Linked DNA regions of Elephas maximus indicus. The protein of the gene in region 1 interacts with the protein of each later gene in a pairwise test. Links are inferred from orthologs where the notes say so. Each region holds a gene or a part of one and is shown in the gene's direction. Other genes may lie near its edges.

Region 1 (7,719 bases):
GGGCCTGGGGGCTAGAAGTCCAAATGAAGGTAAAGGACGTGTTGATTCCTTCTGAGGCCCTGAAAGAGCAACTGTTCTACCTATATCTCTCTCCTGGCTTCTCGCCTGATAAGAAAACCAAACCCATGCTGTTGATTCTGACTCATAGTGACCCTATAGGACAGGGAAGAATTGCCACATAGGGTTTCTGAGACTGTAAAACTTTATGGAAGCAAACTGCCATGTCTTTCTCCCATGGAGTAGATGGTGGGTTCAAACTGCTGAACTTTCGGTTCGTAGCTGAGTGCTTAACCACTGCGACACCAGGTCTAGCCCATCCAGTGCCCTCAAGTCGATAGCAGCTGTCTGCAATCCTTGGTGTTCCTAGGCGTGTAGATTCATCTGCCTCCATCGTCACATGGCCACCCTCTTCTGTGTATTGTTGGGGAAAATAATTAAAAACAAAATCTGCTCCCAAACCAGAAAACCTCTCCACAAAAGCAGAAGAGAAAGAAAACAGTTTTCTTATTGCATAAACCCTAAACCAGAACACAGTGGCAGTCTGCTAAAGAGATTGCAAAGACAGAAAGGAACCTGAACCTTATATAGGCAAGCAGATGCAACCCATTACATACGTGCTCTCCAGATAAAGGATAAGAAGCTTGACAACACCGTTTATCTCAGATTCACCTGGTTATAAGGGTAGCCACCAGCGTTTGTTAATGGCCAAAGGAAAAATAAGCTGTTGATATCTTTATAACAGAAGGTAGTTTTAGAGCTTGAAGCCCACCAAAGTTAGGCTTTTACCCTCCCACAGAACTTGAGGGCCAGAGGAGCTACTTCCTTACTAATTACATTTGAAAAAGATGGCTCCCAGCTCCCTCAGGAAACATCCCGGGGTTGTAAAACTGGCAGGAAGATTATCTAGCCATTCAGGAGGACTTCTCAAGAGGCAAAGAATTTACAACTACAAGACATCTAAAGTAAATGCTCAAAAAAACAGGGAAGGGGAGGTCTTGTCTTTTTTGCATCAGGGAATATTATGTATACTTATTTTTTTCTCTTCAATTTGCATTTACCCTTATAGTATCTCTCTGTGTCTGCTCTGCTGTTTTCATAAGACACCATTCAAAGGAGATTAGGATTCAGAATCCTACTCCCGTGTGACCACCTATTTCCAAATAGGGTTATATTCACAGGTACAGGAGTCTGGTCTTCAACATATCTTTTGGGGGGGAGGACACAATTCTATCCATAACACATGGCAACAGATAACTAACGCAAGGAGGTACTATTACAATCCTCATTTTGCAGATGCAGAAACTAAGGCTTAGCTACCTGTCCAGGTCACACAGTTAAGAAATGAAAAAGCCAGGATTGGTAGCCAGGTGACATGACTGAGAGCCCATGTGTTTAAGCACTACACTCATAGCCTCCTGATGAAACTGTCTACGAAGAGAGTTTAATTATTTACAAGAATTAGGTATTTAATCCTCATACACTGTCATTGGAAGTATAACTTGGTACTGACATTTTGGACAGCAACTTGGTAATATCTATCAAAAGGCGCAAACCCTTTTACCTTGCAATTTTACTTCTAGAATACTTATTTATAGAAGTACATAGATGCACAGAGATTTATGAGAATGAATGATTATTGTGCATTTTTTTAAAGGCAAATAACTGGAAGTAACACATACGCCTGCTAATAGGGGATTTGGTTAAATCATGATACACCATGCAGTGAAATAATATGTACCTATTAAAAAGAATGAGGTAGATACATATTTAGGGAAGTAGGAAGATAAATATTGATATCTGTAATAGGCAGACTTCTAAGATGGCTCCAAGATTCCTGATCCCTGGTTTATGCACACTTATCTCGGGTGATCCCCTCGCCGTCAAGTCAATTCGGACTCATAGCAACTCTATAGGTATGTAGGGTTGCTATGAATCAGAATTGACTTGATGGCAATGAGTTTGGTTTTTGAAACCCTGGTGACATAGTGGTTAAGAGCTACAGCTGCTAACCAAGAAGGTCGGCAGTTTGAATCCACCAGGCACTCCTTGGAAACTCTATGGGGCAGTTCTACTCTGTCCTACAAGGATGCTATGAGTCAGAATCGACTCAATGGCAACAGGCCTTTTTTTTTTCCTCTCAGGTACTCACTCAAATACTAATCTAGGTGCTGCTATGAAGGGACTTTGCTGATGTAATTAAGTGCCCATGGAGTCCCTAGGTGGTGCAAACAGTTAAGCACTTGACTACTAGCCAAAAGATTGGTGGTTTGAATCCACCCTGATGTCAGGCTGATACCTCATGGTGAGTCTTTCTGGCCTGGCCAATCCCTACCCAAGAGTCACCTCACTAGCATAAACTCTCAGGTGTAATCTGTAGCCTTACAGATAAAAGAAACTTCAATCACTGGGAAGATTCCAAGGTTTTATAGATTATCTTTAGGGACCAACCGCAAAGAACAAATTCTTTAAGTAAACTTAATTTCCTTAACCCACGGCAATGATTTAAAATAATGGACAATTCAGAACACCATTTATTTTTGGCTTTTGATAATGAAATTATGGGGGAGGAGCATGTATTTTACCTTCCTCATTTTCTTCTACGTACACTAATACAAAAACTCATAATATGGATCCCTGAAAGGCATAAACCCAAGAGAGTTCTTGACCCAACAAATGTTTAATCAATCTGTTAAAAAGTGCCAGTAGCTTGGCTGGACATTGGAAAATCAAAGATAAACAAAGACCCCTGTTCGACTTGTGTGCCACTACTCTGCTCATTTTTGGAAGAATTATCCCATTTAATCCTTACAACAATCCTAGGAGGTAGAACTACCGTCTCTATTTTACTGGAGCAGAAATTGAGGTTTAGAGAGTATCTTAGTCATCTAGTGCTGCTCTAATAGATACACCACAAATGGATGTCTTTAACAAAGGGAAATTTATTCTCTCACTGTCCAGTAGGCTACAAGTCCAAATTCAGGTCATCAGCTCCAGGGGAAGGCTTTCTCTCTGTCAGCTCTGGAGGAAGGTCCTTGTCATCAATGTTCCCTTGGTCTGGGAGCATCTCAGTGCAGGAACCTCAGGTCCAAAGGACGTGTTCTGCTCCTGGCATGGGTATGAGGTCCCCATGTGTCTCTGCTTACTTTTCTCTCTTATATCTCAAAAGAGAATGGCTTAAGACACTATCTAATCCTGCATATCTCATCAATATAACTGCCACTAATCCATTTTATTACATCATAGTGACAGGATTTACAACACATAGGAAAATCACATCAGATGATAAAATGGTAGACAATCATGGAATCATACAAGGGAATCAAGACCTAGCACAGTTGACAGATATTTTGGGGGGACACAATTCAATCCATGTCAGAGAGCTAGAAGGGAAACCAGGCAGCTCCTGGGCTTAACTTGCAGGCCACACTGTGATTAAGTGCCACTGATTTATTTTCAAATCTGGAACTCTTGATATATTGATATTTGGAATCACTTGCCTTCTTTTTATATAAAACATAATAGGTGTATGTTACCTTAGAAATGGTATAAAAAGAAAGGCAAATATATAATGAATCTTAAAATGATGGGCACATTTAGGGAAAAAATCTGTCATGGGAAGAGTTTAGCCATGTTATTAAATCTTCCCAGAAGGGTTACTGTATCTGTTAAAAGCATGTGCAGATACAAGTGTGCACATGGGACTAGTGAGGGAGCAGAGAAAGCATGGAGTCAAGGAGAAACAACCTCCTCAGCCTAGGATAGCAGGTCTCAAGTGCAGATATCCCTGCCTTTTCTGCTTTTATTCAAGGGGATACACAGCCTTGGCATTTTAACTATATGATTAAATGGTTATTATATTGATAATAACTTTTTGTTGTCCTTCTAATGCACACATTCTACTGTGTCGTCGTCTTAGTGTTAACTTCTCTTTGGGGTCTGGGGGTGGCAGCCTTCACGGCCAGTCAGAGTCTTGTAAGTATGGGTTTGCAAGATCTGGCCTCAGATTTCTCTGTTTACTGTTGATCACAGGAAGGTCATATTTGAGGATGTGGGTGGCTGATGATAAATCCAGCCCCACTAACTGCAAAACGACTGAAAGATTCCCCTTCAGATAGGCGGATCTTTCCAAAGAAAAAATAGCACTATGTCCCCACATAGTTGAGGGGAGGAGATGCCTGTGGACCTTGGGCCTCTTTGGGTGCCACGCCTGTGACCCACCAGAGGGGGAGGGCAGGAAGGAACAGCTTTTACACCATTTTTAAAAAGAAGTTTAAGATGTCTCAAAACTGGACCCTCTCTTTTGTGAACAGGGGAAGGTGATGGGAAAAGCTTTCCCTGCAGGTGGGGGAAGAGGGACCCCCAGCAGCAGCGGAAGCTCAGAGATGAGGCCGGTATTTGGAGAAAAGGGCACCGTGATCGGACTCTCCTTCCCGGTCTCGCTTCTCGGCAAACCCTTGTCCCGGACCCCACAGTCTCGTCCCTTCACCGAGCAGGAAAGGGGGCTGGGGAAAGCAAGAGCCCTGGCCTCCTACCCACCCGTTCCCGCCACGATCCTGTGGGAACCGAGGCTGCGGACGCAGAGCCTCAGCACCAGGCCGGGAGGGGGTCCGCCCCCAGCACAAGGCCAAGGCCCGCGGCGGCGGCCTCGCGCGCGTCCACATGTGGCAGGCCCGCCGGGGGGTGGCGGGGAGCCGAGGGGGAGGGTTTACTTCACGGCGAAGTTCCCGGATGGTCGCAGCCTCCGGGCGCTGAGCGCTTTTCCTCCCGCCTGGCTCAGCCCTCGCGGACCGGGGGAGAGGTTTCCCGGAAAAAATGCCCGGCGCGCTGCGGGGCAGGGGAGCCGCCCGGAGCCGCTGCGCGGTAAGGACGCGCCGCCACCGCCGGGGGCGGGGTTCCGGGGTCTCGGATAGCCCCAGGGGGACCCCGCGGCCGCCGGGGCGGGCCGGCTCGACGGCGGGGCTCTGTAGCGCCGTGCGGCACGCAGTGGCGCGGGGCGGGGGCGCGGGCCGTCGAGGCGGGGTCCCTGCGGGCGGCGGGCGCACGGGGCCCGCTCAGTCTCCCGGCCTCGGGAGGGAGGGGCGCCATTCCCGGCCGGCGCCTCCTGCAGGCCCGGCGGGTTGTCCGGGGAGGAGGGCTCCAGACGTGGTACCGCGGGCGGGGCGCCCCCTGAGCCCGCGGACCTCGGCCGCAGCAGTTACTTAGCCGGGATGCGCAGGACCCGCATCTGCACCCCGCCCGGGCGGGCGGGGACTTTCGGGCGTCCCCGGGGCCAGTTCACGCGCTGGAGCCGTCGTCCTCGCGGTGGGAATCGCGGCTTCTCGGCGCTCGGCTCCCAAACTGGCCTCCCGCCGGGTGCTCTGGGACAGCCGGCTCCGCGGGTCGGCGCAGACGCGCACCATCTATGTGTCGGTTGACTGGAGGCGCTTCCAGTTCCTGGCATAGTTTTCGCCAGGCCTGTGCCGAACCCTCGGGACAGCTTCACCTCAGTCTCGCTCCCGTACCTCTCGATATTAACATCCTTTTCTTCTTCCTTTTTTTTTTTTTTTTTAAATAACAGTTAAAAAGAGTTGCAGGTTTAAGAGAAACCAGCTAGCCTCGGTCGGGGGTAGACTTTGAACTCTTTGAGATTAACAAAGGGTGTGTCTGTGTGAGGAATTTTTGGTCCTACTTTTTATTCCATGAATAGTCCCTCTGGGACCACGGGCTCATTGCCCTGAGTTCCCTGGGAAGCCTCTCGAGTTGTCAGCAGTGACTGGGTGGACTTGGGTCTCTTTTTCTGAAAGCGCGTCTCAGTTCGCCCGCCCCCCCCCATCCCACCCCCGGATCTTCACTGGACGCCTCATCCTCAGACTCAGGCTAGTGGCAGCTGCAGAGCCAGGACAGATTCCCCACCCTGACTGGGTTTTCTTTTACCGGTTTCCCAAACCAGAAAACAATACTGTAGCTTCATTTTCAGTCGTTGGCTTTTTTTTTTTTTTTTTGCCCACCTCGAAAGCACCCATTTCTATAACGGATAAAATAACTCCCTAAAAATTTCCTATTTCACTTCGTAAATCTTTTTTTTAAACGGATTTAAAAAATTGTGGTAAATTTTACATAACATTAAATTAACTATTTTAAAATGTACAAATCAGTGGCATTTAATACTCTCACAATGTCGTGCTAAAAAAAAAAAAAATGTTGTGCTACCATTTTGGAAATCACCCTTTGACTTTTTGAGGTGAGAGAACCCTGAGCAGGCTATCAGCACCTTGCATCTTAATCCCTCCTTACGCTGCCTCCCACTGTTGCCGTGTATTTGCCTGCCTGTCATCCCCACAAGGTTGAGTTTCTCAGGGACGGGGTGTGATGTTATTCTCCAAATCCCCAGCTACCTCTGTGTTATATGTTGAATGGAAGTGTGCAGAGTAGAACCTGCAGGTGTTAGTAAAAATTGTCTTCCTCCCCTGGATCTACCCAACCCCTGCCATAATAATTTTGGCTCCCGGAGAAGCACACGAACTTTCAGACTGTGATATAGAGGAAAGAAATTTGTAAGCAAAGTACAGATCTAATCCTGGGACGTTTAGAGAGAATGAGATCACTTCCAGCTTGGTGTGGGGATGGGGGGGATTGATGTCTTCTTTCACTTGTTTGTTCATTTCACAAATTGTCTCCTGTGTGCTCAACCATTCCCTGGTGCTCCTAGGCATATCATGCAAGTTGAGCCTCAATTATCTCTTCCAAAAAGTGGGGTTGATAACCTTTGCTCTTCCTCCATTAAAGGGTGTGAGGAACAAATGAGATAATGGGTGTAAAACAGCAAAAAGTGCCAGCACGAGGCCACCCAGACACCATACAGTGTGGGGCACCAAGACTTAAGAGTGTTAATGAGCTAAAAGGTGGTGGGAGTGAAGAGAAGGTGGTATTTATTGTCTCAGTTGCTCTGGTAAGGGACGAACCCATTTTTGTGGGCAGTATTACATACTGGGTTTGTGTCACTGTCTTTGGTGTTCCAAGGTGTTCCTGGCTGTTGTAATTTTAGGTACATATGTGGTGTTCTGGGTTGAATTGTGTCCCCCCAAAACATGTGCTGTAAATCCTAACCTCTATGCCTATGGTTGTAATCCCATTTGGGAATGGGTTGTCTTTGTTATGTTAACAAGGCAGGATTGGTGTAGAGCGTGTTTTGAGTCAATCTCTTTTGAGATATAAAAGAGATTAAACAAGCAAGGGAAAGAAGTGGAGACGGGAGAAGAGATGCCAAACCACATGAAGATTGCCCAGGAGCAGAAGCTCAGAAGAGACAAGGACCTTCCTCCAGAGCTGACAGAGAAGAGCAAGCCTTCCCCTAGAGCTGGTGCCCTAAATTCAGACTTCTAGTCTTCAAAACTGTGAGAAGATAAATTTTTGTTTGTTAAAGCCACTCACTTGTGGTATTTCTGTTACAGCAGCACTAGGTAACTAAGACATGTGGCATCTACAGTGCACATCAGAAAGTTAATAATAAACAAAAGTGCATTTTATTTCTTGTGATTATCAGTTGCCATTTTTTTTTTTTTTATTGAGTCAGCCCTGAATCATGGTGACCCCATGCAGAACAGAACAGAACTGCCTGGTCCTGCCCCATCCTCATGATTGGTTGTAGATCAGACCATCGTGGTCCATAGGGTTTTCACTGTCTAATTTTTGGGAGTAGACCCCAGGCCTTTCTTCCTAGTCCACCATAATCAGGAAGTT
Region 2 (7,912 bases), on another chromosome or scaffold:
CTTCTTGTACTTGCGCCTGGGCTGGTATGCACATTTAGTCTTGGATACATGGTTGAGCTACATGTATTATCGTTTGTTTTATGGGCCTGTCTAATCTTTGGCTGAAGGGTGAACCTCAGGAGTGCCTTCAGTGCTGAGTTAAAAAGGTGTCCAAGGGTTAAATCTTTTCTTGAGATGGTCTTTAAATTCAAGTGGGATATATTCAAGATTGTACTTTGGCTATCATGGACTTGTTTTAATTTTCTTTGACTTTTAATTGAACTTGCATATGAGCAATTGATGGTCTGTTCTGCAGTTAGCTCCTGGCCTTGCTCTGACTGATACTGAGCTTCTCTATTGTCTCTTTCCACAGATGTAGTCAATTTGATTCTTGTGTATTCCCTCTGGGAAGGTTCATGCGTATAGTCACCATTTATATTGTTGAAAAAAATCTATTTCCAATGAATAGGTAATTGGTCTTGCACAGTTCTGTCATGCAATCTCTGGCATCATTTCTATCATGAAGGCCATGTTTTCCAACTACCAATCCTTCTTTGTTTCCAATTTTGTTTCCAGTAATTATCAATGCATCTTGATTGCATATTTGATCAATTTTAGATTGCAGAAGTTGGTAAAAATCTTCATTTACTTCATCTTTGGCATTAGTGGTTGGTGCATAAATGTGAATAATAGTCATATTAACAGGTCTTCCTTATAGGCATATGGAGGTTATCCTATCACTGACTGTGTTGTACTTCATGATAGATCTTGAAATGTTCTTTTTGACAATGAATGTGATGCCATTCCTCTCCAGTTTGTCATTACCAGTATATTTTTAGACCATATGATTTCTGATTTGAATGGCCAATACCGGTCCATTTCAGCTCACTGATGCCTAGGATATCTATCTTCAAGCATTTCATTTCATTTTTGACAACTTCCAATTTTTCTAGATTCGTACTTTATATATTCCACGTTCAGGTTATTAATGGTTGTTTCAGCTCTTTCTTCTCATTTTGAGTTGTGCCACATCAGCAAATGAAGGTCTCAAAAGCTTGACTCCATCCACGTCATTAAGGTCAACTCTACTTGGAGGAGGTAGCTCTTCTCTGGCGGTATTTCGAGTGCCTTCCGACCTGAGGGGTTCATCTTTTGGCACTATATCAGTGTTCTGCTGCGATTCATAAGGTTTTCACAGATCAATTTTTTAGAAGTCGATTGCCATGTCCTTCCTCCTAGTCTGCCTTAGTCTGGAAGTTCTGCCGAAATTTCTGCATCGTGGGTGACCCTGCTGGTATTTGAACTACTGATGGCATAGCTTCCAGCATCACAGCAACAGGCAAGCCACCACAGTACAACAAACTGACAAAATGAGTGGTGGATGAGAACCTTAGGGTAGGTTATTTTTAATCAAGACTGACCATCCAAGAAGTGAGGTCTCTGTGGCTAGAGGAGCCTAAAGAAAGGAGGGAAAACCCACAGAAATTAGCTGGTCCAGGCCAGGCTGGGGGTCACAACCTCTTCAGAGTAACGCTCTAATTTCTGAGCCCTGGCTTGAGTGGACGGAGTGCACCGATACCAGGTGAGCAACTACCTACTGTGTCCAGATACTTGGTTTTCATATTTATTTAGTAAAACATCTCATTTCTCATTTACAGCTGCCTGATGAGGTATGTTTTAGGAATGAAGAAGCTTAAGTTCAAGGACATTAGATAACTCTCCCAAGGTCATATAGCTGACACGCACGATAAGGATTCTGCGTTTCTGGCGGTTCTGAAGTCCATGCTTCTTCTACAGTACTACAAGTGCAAGGTAACGGACAAGGACCAGCCTTGGGGAGTGGTATCCTCAGTCAGCCTGGTGGGGCAGTCCATGGGTACTGGGTTCCGGGGTGCCTTCTGGCGTCCACTCCAACAATGGAGTAGGCCGCGGTAGGAGCCAGCAAAGCTATAGGGTCCAACCTCCCCAGAGCCTTCATTACTGCATCTCGAACAGGGCGCTCTGAGGTGCTCCAGCTGACTTTTTTCTGAAGGGACAAATGCCCGGTTGCTGGTAAGGGAGGGGTCGATCCAGCCACCGCCCAAACCTCTGGGGACCAGCGCAACCCCCAAGCCAGCCCCGCTCGGGCCCCTTAGCCACCCTCCTTCCTGGGCAGCCGGCCAAGCCCTCCGTGGGGCGCGAGGAGGGGGCGGGGCCGCGCCCGTCCGCGGACTACAACTCCCACAATGCGCCGGCCGCCCGGGAAGGAGGGCGCCTGCAGGTGCCTGCGGCCTCGGCGCCTGCGCCCGGAAGTGCCCGCGGGCCGACATGGAGCTGGCGGGGCTGGGCGGTGAGTACCGCGCGGGCCCGCTCCCGCCCCGCCCCGCCCGGGATCGCTGTGCCCTCAGCGGCTTGGGGGCGGGAAGATGGGAGGTGGATGGAGGAGCCGGGGGTGGGAGGGTGAGGTGTCGCCTTCCCCGGGCCGGGTCTGGGGTCGGCTGCGGCGTAGGCTCGGAGAGGCTCCCGGGGACGCGCGGAGTCGGCCCGCCGCGGGCTGGGGTGGGCGTGGGTCGGGGGGGCCGAGGAGGGTGGCGGGTGGCAAACCCCGGAGGCTGCCGCTTGCTTGGGGGCGGAGCTTGACGTTTGATGTGGGGGAGTTTAGGAAGCTGTTGGGGTTTGGCTGAATGGCAACGGGGGGCGCATAGAGGCCTTTCCGCCCCCTTGAAGAAACTTTAGCGACGGAGGAGTAGATAAGCTGTGGGGTGAAGTAGAGGGTGGAGTAGATAAGCTGTGGGGTGAAGCTTGGTGGGCGTTGACTTTAGGGGAGGAGTTCCTTAGAAGACCGGGGTCCTTACCTTGGGATGGGGTTTGAGTGAATTAGGGACCTGGCTAAAGAGATTTAGAACTCAGGTTACCTGAAGTTAGGACTTTCGATTTGGTGGTGGAGCGGGACACCTTGAAAAACACCTTGGGGAGTTTGTGGCGACCGGGAGTCCAAACAGTCTGTTCCGCGGGATGTGGCTTGGGTACAGGGGGCAGAGGAGTAAGGGCTATGGGAGAGCTGGAGTGCGTTCAGAGGGCTCTTGGCCAGAGAGCCAGCCTCTCATGGATTCTTTGTGCCTCTCCAGCTCGGTAGCGCAGCGGGCAAGGTGGGTGCCATGGCCCTGATTGAAGGGGTGGGTGACGAGGTGACCATCCTTTTTGCGGTGCTTGCCTGCCTCCTGGTGCTGGCCCTTGCCTGGGTCTCAACACACACTGCCGAGAGGGCCGACCCACTGCCCCAGCCGTCAGGGACCCCAACTTCAGCACAGCCGAGCAAAGCCGTGGTAGCTACCGATAGCATCAGAGGGGCGGCCCCCGGAGCTGAGGCCCCCAGCCTGAGACACAGAGGTCCAGCTGCACAGCCAGAGCCGGGCACAGGCATCCCAGGAACACCGCCACCACCAGACTCCCCACAGGAGCCCCTTGTGCTTCGGCTGAAATTCCTCAATGATTCAGAGCAGGTGGCCAGGGCATGGCCCCAGGACACCATCGGCTCCTTGAAAAGGTAAGCTGGGCCACAGCGGGGTGATGATCTGAGCAAAATGCTAAAGAATGTGGTGGGAGTGGTCACAGACCCGGGTGGGCCACCAGAGACATCCCCCTTACCTTAAAATGAAGGAACCAAGGTCCATAAGTTACATGCTGGTCCAGTCCTTGTCCCCTGGTAGCAGACCGCCCCCACTGAGGCTAGATCTGGTGGTGGGGTGTGGGGCAGAGAGGGGGGGCAGGGTTTTGTTCTAGGGCAGGGACCAGGATTGGCTGAGGCCTGCTCTCTTACCCAGGGCCCTCTCTCCTCAGGACCCATTTTCCTGGCCGGGAACAGCAGGTTCGACTCATTTACCAAGGGCAACTTCTAGGAGACGATTCCCAGACCCTGGGCAGCCTTCACCTCCCTCCCAGCTGTGTTCTCCACTGCCACGTGTCCACACGGGCCGGTCCCCCACATCCCCCCTGCCCACCGGGATCAGAGCCAGGCCCCTCCGGGCTGGAAATAGGCAGCCTGCTGCTGCCCCTGCTGCTTCTGCTGCTGCTACTGCTCTGGTACTGCCAGATCCAGTACCGGCCCTTCTTTCCGCTGACCGCCACACTGGGCCTAGCCGGCTTCACTCTGCTTCTCAGTCTCCTGGCCTTTGCCATGTATCGCCCATAGTCCCTCCACGGGCAGTGGGCAGCACTGCCAACCCCTCTGGACCTTGCTCCCCACGACGGAGTGGGAGCTGCTGTCTGCCCAGGCCTGCTTCTCCGGCCTGCCTCTTCCCTCTGTCCTGGAGCACAGACCCTCGCCGCCGAGGACTCCGGGGGCCAGCAGAGGCCCTTCCCTGTGACCTCCATGGCACCGAGCCCCCTCCTGGAGCTGCTGGCCCTCAGCTCCCACTGACAGTGGGCTCCTCGGGGTCAGGCAGCTGCTGTCGCTGCCTAGGCCCTGGACAGAGTCGGGCAACCCCACTGGGCCCATTTTAGTGCTCTGCTCTGGAAGAGGAGGACCTAGTCACCTCCAGTCCCTGATACTCCTTCGTCTGACCTGGGGACTCAGGGACTGCGACGCTTGTGGAGGGGAGCGGGAGCAGCAGATGGTGGTTTTCTGGAACACGTGCAGATTAAAAAGCTGAAGTTTTCACTCTCGCTGTGCCTGGGTGTGTGGGGCCCATGGCTGTGGGGCTGTGGGGCTGTGGGTCAGGGAGCCCTGGCCTACTGGGAGGAAAGGGAGTGAAGGACATGCAGTGGGCCCCGGCACAGCTCCACTTCTTCAAGCCGACAGGTGTCTCTCCTCTGCCCTGCCCTTCTCTGCCCCTTTTGCGCCTGCCGTCCTGGCCCCGCCTCTCGCCGGGCCCCGCCCCCGCGCCGCGCGCGCAGCTTCCGGGAGCCGGGGGCGGGGCTCGAGGCGCCCGGGCGCGCAGGGCCTGACGGGAGCCACGTCCTTGCGGTCTGAGGACCTAGCTGGGATTGGCGACCGGGGCGGCGGTGCTGGGGCTGCTGGGAAGATGGCGGACTCGGCAGCCCGCGGATGAGGAGGCCGCGGGGGGAGCCCGGCTCCCGGGCCCCGAGACCGACTGAGGGAGCGATCTGCGCGGGGCCTGGGGAGCCATGTAGGGGTGGCGCCTGTTAGGGTGGGACGAGGGAGCGGGGCGGGATTCGTGTTTGCAGCCGTGACGGTGGTCTCCCGAGGCCTGGGTGGGCGTGCGGGCCCTGACGTTTCCAACTCGGCGCCACTGCAAAGCTGGGCACTCGGGCTCCACAGGCGCCCCGCCAGGTGGGCGCTGCATTCTCATTTCACAGGTAAGGAGACTTAGGTAGAGAGACGAAGCCATTTGCCCAAGGTCACATAGCTGGTAAGCGGGAGCGCCTAGCATGGAACCCAGGACCATCCGACTGCAAAGCCCGCGCGTTCCACCCTCTGTGCCGCCGTCGCCTCCGTCGGGGGGACGTGTGGACGGGCTGACCAGGGCTCCAGACTGGGCGCGACCACCAACCCGATATATGACCTCGGGGGTAAGCCTGTTGTCTCTCTCGGCCGTGGTCTCTTCATCTGTGAAATCGCGAAGATAGTGGCAGCCCTGCTTAGCTCGTAGGCTTGTAAGGAGGATCAGAGGAGATGACGCATGTGAAAGTGCTTTGTAAATGGCACTGCTTTGAGAGCACTACCCGGTTTCGCAGGAGTAAGAGGGGCGGGGTGGGGAAGACTTAGAGCAGTCAACACTGAAGGGTGGCCAGGAGTCTGGGTCTGGGCCACTCTGCGCCAGGTCCCTCTGGATGGGGAGTGAGGTAAGGAGTAGATAGCAGATCTTTCTCCCCTTCGGAGAAAACCTCACCCCCTTTTTTGGGCCGCCCCTCAGGGTCTCCATCACCCAACTCCATGCTTCGAGTCCTGCTTTCTGCCCAGGCCTCCTCTGCTCGGCTCTCTGGTCTGCTGCTTCTCCCACCATTACAGCCCTGCTGTCTGGGGCCCAGCAAGTGGGGGGACCGGCCATCTGGAGGAGGCCCCCATGCGGGTCCCGTGCAGGGGCTGCAGCGGCTTCTGGAACAGGCGAGGAGCCCTGGGGAGCTACTACGCTGGCTGGGCCAGAACCCCACCAAGGTGCGCGCCCACCACTACCCTGTGGCGCTCCGTCGTTTGGGCCAGCTCTTGGGGCCTCGGCCAGGACCCCCTCCTGTGGAGCAGGTCACACTGCAGGACTTGAGTCAGCTCATCATCCGAAACTGTCCCTCCTTTGACATTGACACCATCCATGTGTGTCTGCACCTTGCAGTCTTACTTGGTGAGGAGAGGCTTGAGGAGGATGTCTCTGGTGGGTGGGTGAGGGGGAGTTAACGGAAAAGTAGAGGACCCAAGATTAAGACAGAATTAACCTTCTAGGCTTTTTGCCCAGGAATGGCAAATACCCTGGCACACTGGCTGCTGCTTTCCCTTCTCTATCCACATGGATGTCAGGAGTCAAACAGCATTCTTTCCAGCTTGGGGGGCACCACCTAGATTCCCTTTAATGTAGTGCTCTAGTAAGCCACTAAAATTTGTCATAATTGCATGAGATGAGAACTTGTTTGCCCTTTTTGTATAAGAGCTTCCCGCACAGGCTGTACTAACATGTTTCCATGGTGTTTTACATCCCTCCAGGAGCCCTGGTGGTGCAGTGATTAAGAGTTCAGGCTGCTAACCAAAAGGTTGGCCGTTAGAATCCACCAGATGCTCTTCGGAAACCCTATGGGGCAGTTCTGCTCTATCCTGTAGGGTCACTATGAGTCAGAATCGACTTGACGGCAATGGGTTTGGTTTTTTTGGTTTAGTGTTTCCGCTTAAACTATAGCAACCATCCAGATCAGGAAATGGAGATGAGAAAGGGGAATCCACTAACTTAACCCCAGGATTAGGACAGAGCAGAACCCTATTCCACGACTGCCTCCTCTGAACCTCTCCCTCAGGCTTTCCGTCAGATGGGCCCTTGGTGACTGCCCTGGAGCAGGAGCGAAAGTTCCGTCTCCCCCCAAAGCCACCTCCCCCTCTGCAGCCTGTCCTTCGTGGTGGGCAGAGGTTGGAAGCTGCTCTGAGCTGCCCCCATTTCCTGCGGCATCCACAGCAGCATCTGATCCACAGCCTGGCAGGTGCTGGACGGGGGAGTTAAAGGCAGGTGGGATGGGGAGGTGGCGGGGGTCGGGGGGTAAGGGCTGAGGAGGCGGAGACAGTGATGGCGTTGTCTGGGCTGAGTAGGAACATAGCTGATTGGAGGTCTGGCCTGAGAGTCCAGCGTGATAGGCTGTTCTTCACAGAGGCAAGGCCAGAGGAACTAACTCCTCACGTAATGGTGCTCCTGGCCCAGCACCTGGCTCGGCACCGGTTGCGGGAGCCCCAGCTTCTGGAAGCCATTGCCCACTTCCTGGTGGTCCAGGAAGCCCAGCTCAACAGCAAGGTGGGATTGCCTCCCACCCTTTCCTGCTCCTCTCACTGTGGTCATTCTCAGCCACTATCAGGCCAGCTCTGCCCAGCCCCGTCCAGATTTATTGCCCTTTTTTCCTACAGCCAGTTTACCCCCACTAGGCTGCTCTGCTCAATGCCCTGGAGCTTCCACCTTGGCTCACACCCTTTCCTTGGCCTGTCTGACTTAGCGTAAGCACCAGAGTGCTCAGTGCTTCGCAGTTTTTCAAAGCACTCAACACCATCTTGACTTCATTGATCCCGCTCCTTTGAAGTCATCAGGGTCAGACCCCACAGTGATTTTTCTCTCTGGTGATTAATCATATGGGACTCAAGAAACTGCTTATACTCTTAATTTATACTCTTAACTTCTGGTGTGTTATGTTGGGGGCAGAGGCATGGGGTCTGCCTCCACAACTACGTTATAAGCTTGAGGACCAAGGCTCCCTAAATTTCAGTTCATAAAAGACACTGGGTAACTGCGGCTGTGTAAAGCACTGCTTT
Region 3 (7,964 bases), on another chromosome or scaffold:
GTCACCCACCCAGCTCCTGTGAGAACACTCAGCAGCCCACGTAGGCTGCAACCAAACAAGAACACAGCCCCCGGATCCCCTTGGTGCCACCATCCCTGTGGCCTCCCCTCTTTGTTCCCCAGCTGTTCCTTCCAGGCCACAGAAGGAGAAGGGTAAGTGCAGACAGGTGGCAAGGAGGCAGCAGGCTGCTCTGCTCAAGGGCCGGGAGCTTCCTGTGGCTGCTGAGGCTCTACTGAGGTTCAGGACCTCTGCAACAGTTGGGGAAACTGAGGCTCAGAGAAAAGTCATAAGAGCTGAAACCCTACCCGGCGCCTACAGTGTAAATTCAATCATGTCCCTCTTTTCCCTCTTCGGCTCCAAAACCTCCCATGGCTCCCCAGTGCCCTCGGAATGAAACCCACACACTTGCCCACGGTCCACAAGACCCTGCCTAGCCCTTGTAACTCGCCTGTCCCCTTATTGTCCCCCACCACTCTCACTCTAGCAGAGCCAGCCTTCCTGCTGTTCCTCCAACACACCGAGTCTGTTGCCGTCTCAGGACCTTTGCACAGGCTATGCCCTCTGCTGGGAGCACCCTTTGTGAGTTATTATCCATGTCCAGGGATATGAGGCAAGTCGGTGGGAGTTGAGATTTGCAACCAGAGCCTCCTGACTCCCCCAGCCAATAGTGTCACATCTAAAACAGGCCTCCAGACTGGTCCGCTGGGAGCTGGCTGATCCTCAGCCCCTCCAGGCCCCATCACCAAAGACCCCCATCCGCACTGCTTAGGGAGCTCTGAGACCCACCCAACACCACATCCCCCAGCATCTACGATCTCTTTGCCCCACTTTCTGCCCTTCATATGGGAGGGTGGTGGAGCCTTCAAGGACAAGGCAGCCAAAAATAATCGGCCGACCTACCTCCCCAAAGTGGGACAGCCCCGCCCCACCACCTGGCGCCCCCGAAGTAATTAGCGCGTGTGGCAAATGAGGGTAATTAGGTTTTCCGGAAGTGAGCTGCAGAGCCTGGCTTGGTGCTTGAAGTGGTCTCGACTCCTTCCTCCCCGCCCTCTGCCTTGCCCTGGTGTTGGGCCCTTAAGTCCACAGCCCAGGGCCAGCACACTTTATCTGGGAAGCCTCCAGACTCTAGACTGTCCCCTGCATACCCGGCCCCTTCGTGGCTGGGCCTGAGCAGGCCTGGCTCCATTGTTTGCTGGGGGCTGTTTGTCAAAGTTGAGTTGGATTTGAATTTAAGGTGGGGTCACCATAAAGTGACAAAAAATCACCAACATTAGTGAGTCATCAAATTCTCCTCCACCCTGAACCCCATGTGTCTACCCTGTGCTGGAAGAAGCCAAGTCCTAGGGAAGCCTCAGTCCCGTCTGAGCCTCGGGGAGCCCTCAGGCTGGGGGAGTCAGAGCTGGGCACAGACACTGCAAGCTCCCTGGGGTCAGGGTGGACCAGAAGGAGAGAGAGGACTGGAGAGGGTCTGGAGGGAGAGGAGTGAGTAGAGGGTATTGGAGGTGGGGCTTTGAGGGATGAATAGGTGTTTGCCAGGAAGAGACGGTCTGAAGGCTGGTCCAACTGGCTGTGCCTAGGAGGGTGGTGAGAAGGAAAAGTGGAGAGCCTTGAGGGACACACAAGGGGCTAGGAGCTAAAGATTTAGAGGATCCTAGAGGATTTAGACTAGGTCTCTGGACGACACAAACAGCTTGCCCTCGTCTACTAATCTAAAGGTTGGTGGTTCTAACCCAACTTGCAGCACCCCAGAAGAAAGGCCTGGCAACTAGCTTCTCTAAAGATTACAGCCAAGAAAATCCTATGGAGCTCAGTTCTACTCTGTAACACATGAGGTCACCATGAGTCAGAATTGACTCAACGGCAACAGGTTTGGCTTGGACCAATTTCCTGTCCTCTAGAGCTCACATCTGCTTGGGGCCCTTCAACCTCTGAAAGAGAAAATGTTAAGAACTTGGCTCCGGATCAAAAACCGCACACCCAGACAGCCAGGAATATAATGATTCAAACAGCAAGTATTCATTGAGCACATAGAGTCAGCCCTCTTCATATAAGAATTCACTGGATCTTTATAGCAAGCTTCAAAAGAGGGTATCATTCTTATATCCATTTTACAGATGGGAAACTGAGGCACAGCAAGGGAGAGTGACTCCTTCCTGGTCACACTGTTGGTAAGAACCGGGGCTGCAATTCACTCCCTGGCCCTGGACTCTGGAGGCCCCTGAGGTCCAAGGTTAGGGCCTGGGAATCCCTTCGGCAAGCATTTCTGAAGGTCCTGCTACAGGTCAGGCTTGATCTGGGTGTTGCGACAAAGCCATGGAAGAGGTAGACAGTAACCAAATCATGCCGTAAACAGATTTAAAGTGGCCACTGTGAACCAAGCCATGAGGTTGTATACACGGCCTGGGGGAAGCGTTACATCCCCTCACATCCCCTGTCTGTCAGGAAGGCAACCTCTTCAGGGAAAAGAGATGATTTAGCTTCAGTCTGAAGGTTAGGTTGGATTTAACTAGGCAGGGACAGGGTCTGACCCATAAAAGTCACTCTACAAATGGCAACTTCCACAGAGCCAAGCAAACTAGTCTGGCCACTGCTTGATTTCTCCTGTGACAGGAAACTCATTCCCTCACTCCTTTCCTCAGCCTGAAAGGAAAGCTTTTAGTTATCCTCCCTGGGGTGGTGGCCCACAAAGACATGCCCAGTCCGTTGGAAGAGAGGTCCCAAGGCTTAGGCAGAGGAGGGCTCAGGCTGAAGTGGGGTCAGCAATTCAGGGCAGCCCCCTGCCCATCTATACCCACAGAAGGGTAAGGAGCTGCTGGTTCACCTGGATCCTCTCTACTACCTCCTCCCTGAGCCCTGTAAGCATTAGCCCATTCTCCAAGTGAGAAAACTGAGGCCTACACTGAGAAAGCCACTTCCTCCATGTGGACCTGGTGGAGACACCTTCAGGTTAGGGCTGCTCAAGGCACACCAAGTTCCAGGTACTCCTGGAGCCCCTAGAGGAGGCCCAGGGAAGCCATGTAACTCCCTCCTCCTTGTCACACTGTTGCTTTCTGCCCACACCCACACAAGGAGCAACTTCGGCCTGGGCCTCTCGCCCAACTGCCCCCACAGAATGGATCATGTGGTCCTGGTTCTGCAGCCAGCCAGCCCCTTGGCAAACCCTCAGTGGCTTCAAGGAGCCTCAGCCTGGCCAGAACCTTTCCCATTTATTTATTTATTTTATTATTTTTTTTGGTAATAAGGAAAAAGTCACTCTTTGCACAGAACAGACGGTATTTTCTTTGTTCCCCACAGATCTCGCGCCTTTCGTGGCATCAGGCCTGAGAGCCAAGCCAAGTACTTTGCTTGTTCAGATGCCTCATGAAGTTAGAAGCAGCTGGGGGAGACAGAGTTTGCACCTCGGTTTCCCCAACTCCGGTGAGCAGTCCCTCCAGTGCTGAGTGAGGCAGGGGCTGCAGGGGGGACTGGTCCTCAAGGAAAACTCACACCTGGGCCCCACTGATATAAACAGGTAACTTGGCTCAGATCACAGGAAATGGATGGTGGGTTGGGAGGAAAAATAAGGTCCCTTCCAAGCCCAGGATATTCAGAGAAGCTTCTCTGAGGAGGGGGCAGTAGAGTTGAGCCAGGAAGGACCAGGCAGAATTATGCTACAGGGAGGGTCTTCTGGGTGGAGGGAACAGCTTGGGCAAAGGCCCAGAGGGAGGGGGATTCTGATCTTGGGCTGGGAATGTCTTCAGAAGCAACAAGTCCTGGTATTCAATTATTCACCTAACGGTCTTTGAAGGTAGCTGGCAGCTACCTTCACGACCCATGCCATGAGGCTGAACACACAGCTTGGGGGAAGGTAACCTCCCCTGATTGTTCTTGGGGAAAGGAAATGAAAAAAACAGGGAAAAGAGATGAGAGCACTCCAAGGCCTTGGCAGATCAAAAGTCAGAACCTCTGAGGGTGTTGGAAAACTCACGTGTTAGGTTTGGAGCTTCAGGGAACCCAGGACTTGCTCTGAGTCCAGTGCCTCTGCCCACCCACCAAATGTCCCTTTGCAACAGGACTAACCAGTGAGCCCCACCGGCAGGCTGGGGCTAGCTCAGCCACCCCAAAAAGACCTGCTTGTCACAGCTGCAGGAAGGGGGAGGCACCTTGAGCTCAGAGAGTGCAAACCCAGGGCTGCCACCTGGACACTGACAGTCCCTCCACCCTGGACCTCGGACCCTATAACAACAGCAGTAATTATCATGATCCCCAGTTTATGGGGTTGTCTTTGGGGAATCAGAGGCAGACACGCCCAGGCCAGAGGGATCAGGGCTCGGGGAAGAGCAGGCAGGATCCTGAGCAGGTGCCCCAGGCCAACCCCATTAAGCGCCTACTGTTTGCCTCTCTCTCTTTGTCCCCCTTCCACTTCTTCTGGTCCAGATGTCTTAATTTCCCAGCAACACTCAGGCATCCCCAAGGTGGGTAGACCTGCCCCTGCCTCAGGACCTTATGGAGTGACCTGACAGGGGGGACCTGACCGGGAGGGACCTAACCCCCATCCCAAGCCTAAGGTCATGACCCGGGGCAACCAGGGCAGCTGGCAGCAGTGACTTGGAGGGTTAGGGTGGGCCCCCAAGTGGTGACTGGAGGCCACAGTCTCTGTTCGTCTCTTCCTCTGTGTCCTTCTGTGTCTCTGCCTATCTCTCTACCTCTGGGTGTCCTTGTCATCCCAGATGTCTGTTGCCGTCTGTCTGTCTGTCCCACCCCCGACCCGCGCCCAGCTCCTCTCTCTGCTCCTCGCCCCCTCCCTGGGTTTCCCCCCATCACCCCTGCCTACCGGCGCACTGGGCCGCCAGCAGGGGCGCTGCGGGGAGCTCACGGGCCGGGAGGCGGGGCGGGCGGCTGCCGCGTCGGGACCGGCTGCGATGGGACCGGAGGCGGCGCAGGCGGCGGCGGCGCGCAGACAAAGGCGCGGGCGGCGGGCAGGCCCGGAGCGAGGCAGCGGCGCCCGGCCGGCCCTGCGCGGAGTTGGTGCCGCCGGGCCGCACCCGACTCGCGCCCGGACACTCGGCGGCCGACCCGGCAGGGTGAGCCCCGCGAGACCGACCGGGGTGGGGACATAAGACCGTGAAGCTTCGGGGTCGGGAGGGGTGCAGGGTGTCCCCAAAGTCGAGGTCGAGAGATGGCGAAGGGGGCTGCGAAGTTCTGGACCCGGGATGGAGGGATGCAACGCGGCGGTCCTCTAAGTTCCGGACTCGAAACTGGGGGGCGACGCGGGGTCCTTGAAGTTCCGGACTCTAGGTCACCGACTGATGGAGGTCCCCGAAGTTCCAAACTCAGAATAGCAGGTTGTCCCCGGGATCCCCGAAGTTCCAAGGTCGGCGCGTTCTGAAGTTAGGGCGCACACGGGGTGCCCCGCTCCTGGCACGAGTGGGGACCCCGGTCCTAGCTGAATACCAGGCCTCCTGGGCTGGGGTGCGCGGAGTGGGGCCTCTCCTGCGGCAGGATTGGGGATCCCCGGTCACCAGGCAGGGTCGGGCCCCTCGGGGAGCCCGGCGCAGGCGGCTGGCGTCCTAGGTGCGTGACTCGGACATGAGTAACTTTGCCTGAACGCCACAAGTCAAGGCAAGAGCTACCGCGCTGGATGCGCCTGAGTTCAGAGGACTCCGGCGTTTCCCAACTTGGCCGGCCCTGGACCCGCCCCCAGCCCCGGCCAGAACGGCCGCCCCTCCCCCAGCCCAGGGACTCGGGTTTCAGACCTGTGACCGGGACAGCAGCTGCCCATGACGGGTGGAGGGGGGCACCCCCGCTCTGACCACAGAGACCGCTGGGTCAGGCTCCCCTCCCCCCGCAACTTCCCCATCCTTGGCCTCTCCCAGGTCCCCTCAGACCCCCTGGTTGCAGGTTTGGAGCTGCAGGAGGGGCATCAGGAGGTCTCCTTCCAGGCTGCTTGTCCTGGCTTCTGTAGGGTGGTGGCTAGAGGAACCTACTAAGAGGCTGGGGAGCCCAATCTCCTCTATCTGGAGTCCACCCTGCACCTAGGGTGGACCTGTGTGGCTACATCTTATCCTTCTGATGGAGTGGTGGTCTCTCCGGGGATTTGGACTCTGACTCCTAGTGGTGCCACTGCCCCAGGGTCAGAGCTGGGGATCCCTCATGGGTCCAGCAGGGTCTGGCCTCCCACTTGGCACCTGGGCTTGGCCCACTTTTTGCTGGTACACCCTGGTTTGAGACGTGCTGGATGCATCTGGTGGAAAGTAGTTTCCCCTCAGCCTGGGATTGCGGGGGCTCACAGGATATCTCCAGTGACCAGGATGGTGGGGGGTTCATGATGGGATACCAGGAATGCTGAGAGGAGACCTGCTGTCCTCCCCGGGCCCCTCAGGCTCCACTACATCTGACTTCCCCTAGAGAGGCGTCTCCTGCCACACATGATGTGGGGGTTCCCTGAGATGGGGTTGTTGTTACTGTTAGTTGCCATTGTGTGGATTCTGACGCACGGGACCCACATGTGCAGAGTACAACTGTGCTCCGTAGAGTTTTCAAGGCTGTGACCTTTTGGAAGTAGATATGAAATAAACCCAAACCCACTGCTCTTGGGTCGATTCTGACTCATAGCAACAATATAGGACAAAGTAGAACTGCCCCATAGGGTTTCCAAAGAATGTCTGGTGGATTCGAACTGCCAGGCTTTGGGTTAGCAGCTGTAGCTCTTAACCACTATGCCACCAGGGTTTCCTGGAAGTAGATAGCCAGGCCTTATTTCTGAGGCGCCTCTGGGTAGGTTTGAACTGCCAACCTTTTGGTTAGCAGTCCAGTGCTTAACCCTTTGAACCAGCAGCTCCTGCCCCTCCTCTGGCCACCCCTTGGAGCCTGCCCAGCCCAGCCTGACCAATGTCCACAACCAGGTGAGCACCCCCTCTACCCCGATCCCCAGCCTTCCCTTGTGCAGCTCCACCCCGCTGAATGCCCTCTTCCTCCAGGGAGCAGCCCATCTTCAGCACACGAGCTCACGTATTCCAGATTGACCCAGCCACCAAGCGGAACTGGATCCCCGCGGGCAAGCACGCCCTCACCGTCTCCTACTTCTACGATGCCACCCGCAATGTCTACCGCATCATCAGCATCGGGGGTGCCAAGGTGAGGCGGATCTAGGGGTAGGGAGCACCAGGGGTCCCTGCTGTGTGCCCCCTGGCAGGGGGTAGCCTGCATCTTCCTAGGCTGCAGTCTCCCCTCCTGAAAGAGCTCAGAGCAAAGCCTCCGAGCCCTCCTCCAAAGTGATGCTCAGAGCTTTTCATGTTTGTTATTATCGGTCCCTTGAACTTTGCCCCCCAGGCCATCATCAACAGCACTGTCACCCCCAACATGACCTTCACGAAAACTTCCCAGAAGTTCGGGCAATGGGCAGACAGTCGTGCCAATACAGTCTACGGCCTTGGCTTTGCATCTGAACAGCATCTGACCCAGGTAGGTCTGTGGGAAGGGACTGGGAGGACAGGATGGGCCTGGGACTTTTCCTGGGTGAAGTGGGCACTTGGGACAGTTCCAAATGGGCACATGGAATTGGACCAGCCTGAACACCTTCCAGGTCCCTGAATGGTACAGATGATTTGCACTGGACTAACCCTGGTTGTGCAGTGGTTAAGCACTCAGCTGCTAACTGAAAGGTCAGCGGTTCAAACCCACCAGCACCTCTTCGGGAGAAAGACCTGGCAATCTGAGATTAGTTAGATCTTAGAGTCCTAAGATTATGGTTTAGGAAACCCTATGGGGCAGTCGTACTCTCTTCTATAGGGTTGCTATAAGTCAGAATCAACGGACGGCACACAACAACAACACTAATTCAAAGGTTGACAGTTTGTATTCACCCAGTGGTGCCTTGGAAGAAAGGCCTGGAAACCTGCTTTTGTAAAGATTACACCCAAGAAAACCCTACAGAGCAATACTACTCTGTCATGTATGGGGTCACCATGAGTCAGAATCGACTC

The links.
Region 2: the proteins of WIPF1 (region 1) and FASTK interact in binary tests that used the Homo sapiens proteins (3 or more experiments, as listed by UniProt). The two-hybrid records come from large-scale screens. The link is inferred for Elephas maximus indicus from reciprocal best matches to the Homo sapiens genes WIPF1 and FASTK.
Region 3: the proteins of WIPF1 (region 1) and HOMER3 interact in binary tests that used the Homo sapiens proteins (3 or more experiments, as listed by UniProt). The two-hybrid records come from large-scale screens. The link is inferred for Elephas maximus indicus from reciprocal best matches to the Homo sapiens genes WIPF1 and HOMER3.

Annotation. Positions count from the first base shown.
Region 1 is NC_064824.1:72,796,466-72,804,184, reverse strand, and holds the start of WIPF1 (WAS/WASL-interacting protein family member 1), read left to right. Parts: upstream 1-4,692; 5' UTR 4,693-4,860; intron 4,861-7,719. UniProt on the Homo sapiens protein: Plays a role in the reorganization of the actin cytoskeleton. Contributes with NCK1 and GRB2 in the recruitment and activation of WASL.
Region 2 is NC_064838.1:12,133,256-12,141,167, forward strand, and holds the start of FASTK (fas-activated serine/threonine kinase), read left to right. Parts: upstream 1-4,901; 5' UTR 4,902-5,005; coding exon 5,006-5,087; intron 5,088-5,183; exon of another isoform or gene 5,184-5,834; coding exon 5,835-6,257; intron 6,258-6,918; coding exon 6,919-7,098; intron 7,099-7,263; coding exon 7,264-7,403; intron 7,404-7,912. Other genes in the region: TMUB1 (transmembrane and ubiquitin-like domain-containing protein 1), read left to right, coding at 3,117-3,505, 3,799-4,150. UniProt on the Homo sapiens protein: Phosphorylates the splicing regulator TIA1, thereby promoting the inclusion of FAS exon 6, which leads to an mRNA encoding a pro-apoptotic form of the receptor.
Region 3 is NC_064821.1:38,794,703-38,802,666, reverse strand, and holds the start of HOMER3 (homer protein homolog 3), read left to right. Parts: upstream 1-4,958; 5' UTR 4,959-5,063; intron 5,064-6,814; 5' UTR 6,815-6,870; coding exon 6,871-6,884; intron 6,885-6,959; coding exon 6,960-7,116; intron 7,117-7,311; coding exon 7,312-7,443; intron 7,444-7,964. UniProt on the Homo sapiens protein: Postsynaptic density scaffolding protein. Binds and cross-links cytoplasmic regions of GRM1, GRM5, ITPR1, DNM3, RYR1, RYR2, SHANK1 and SHANK3.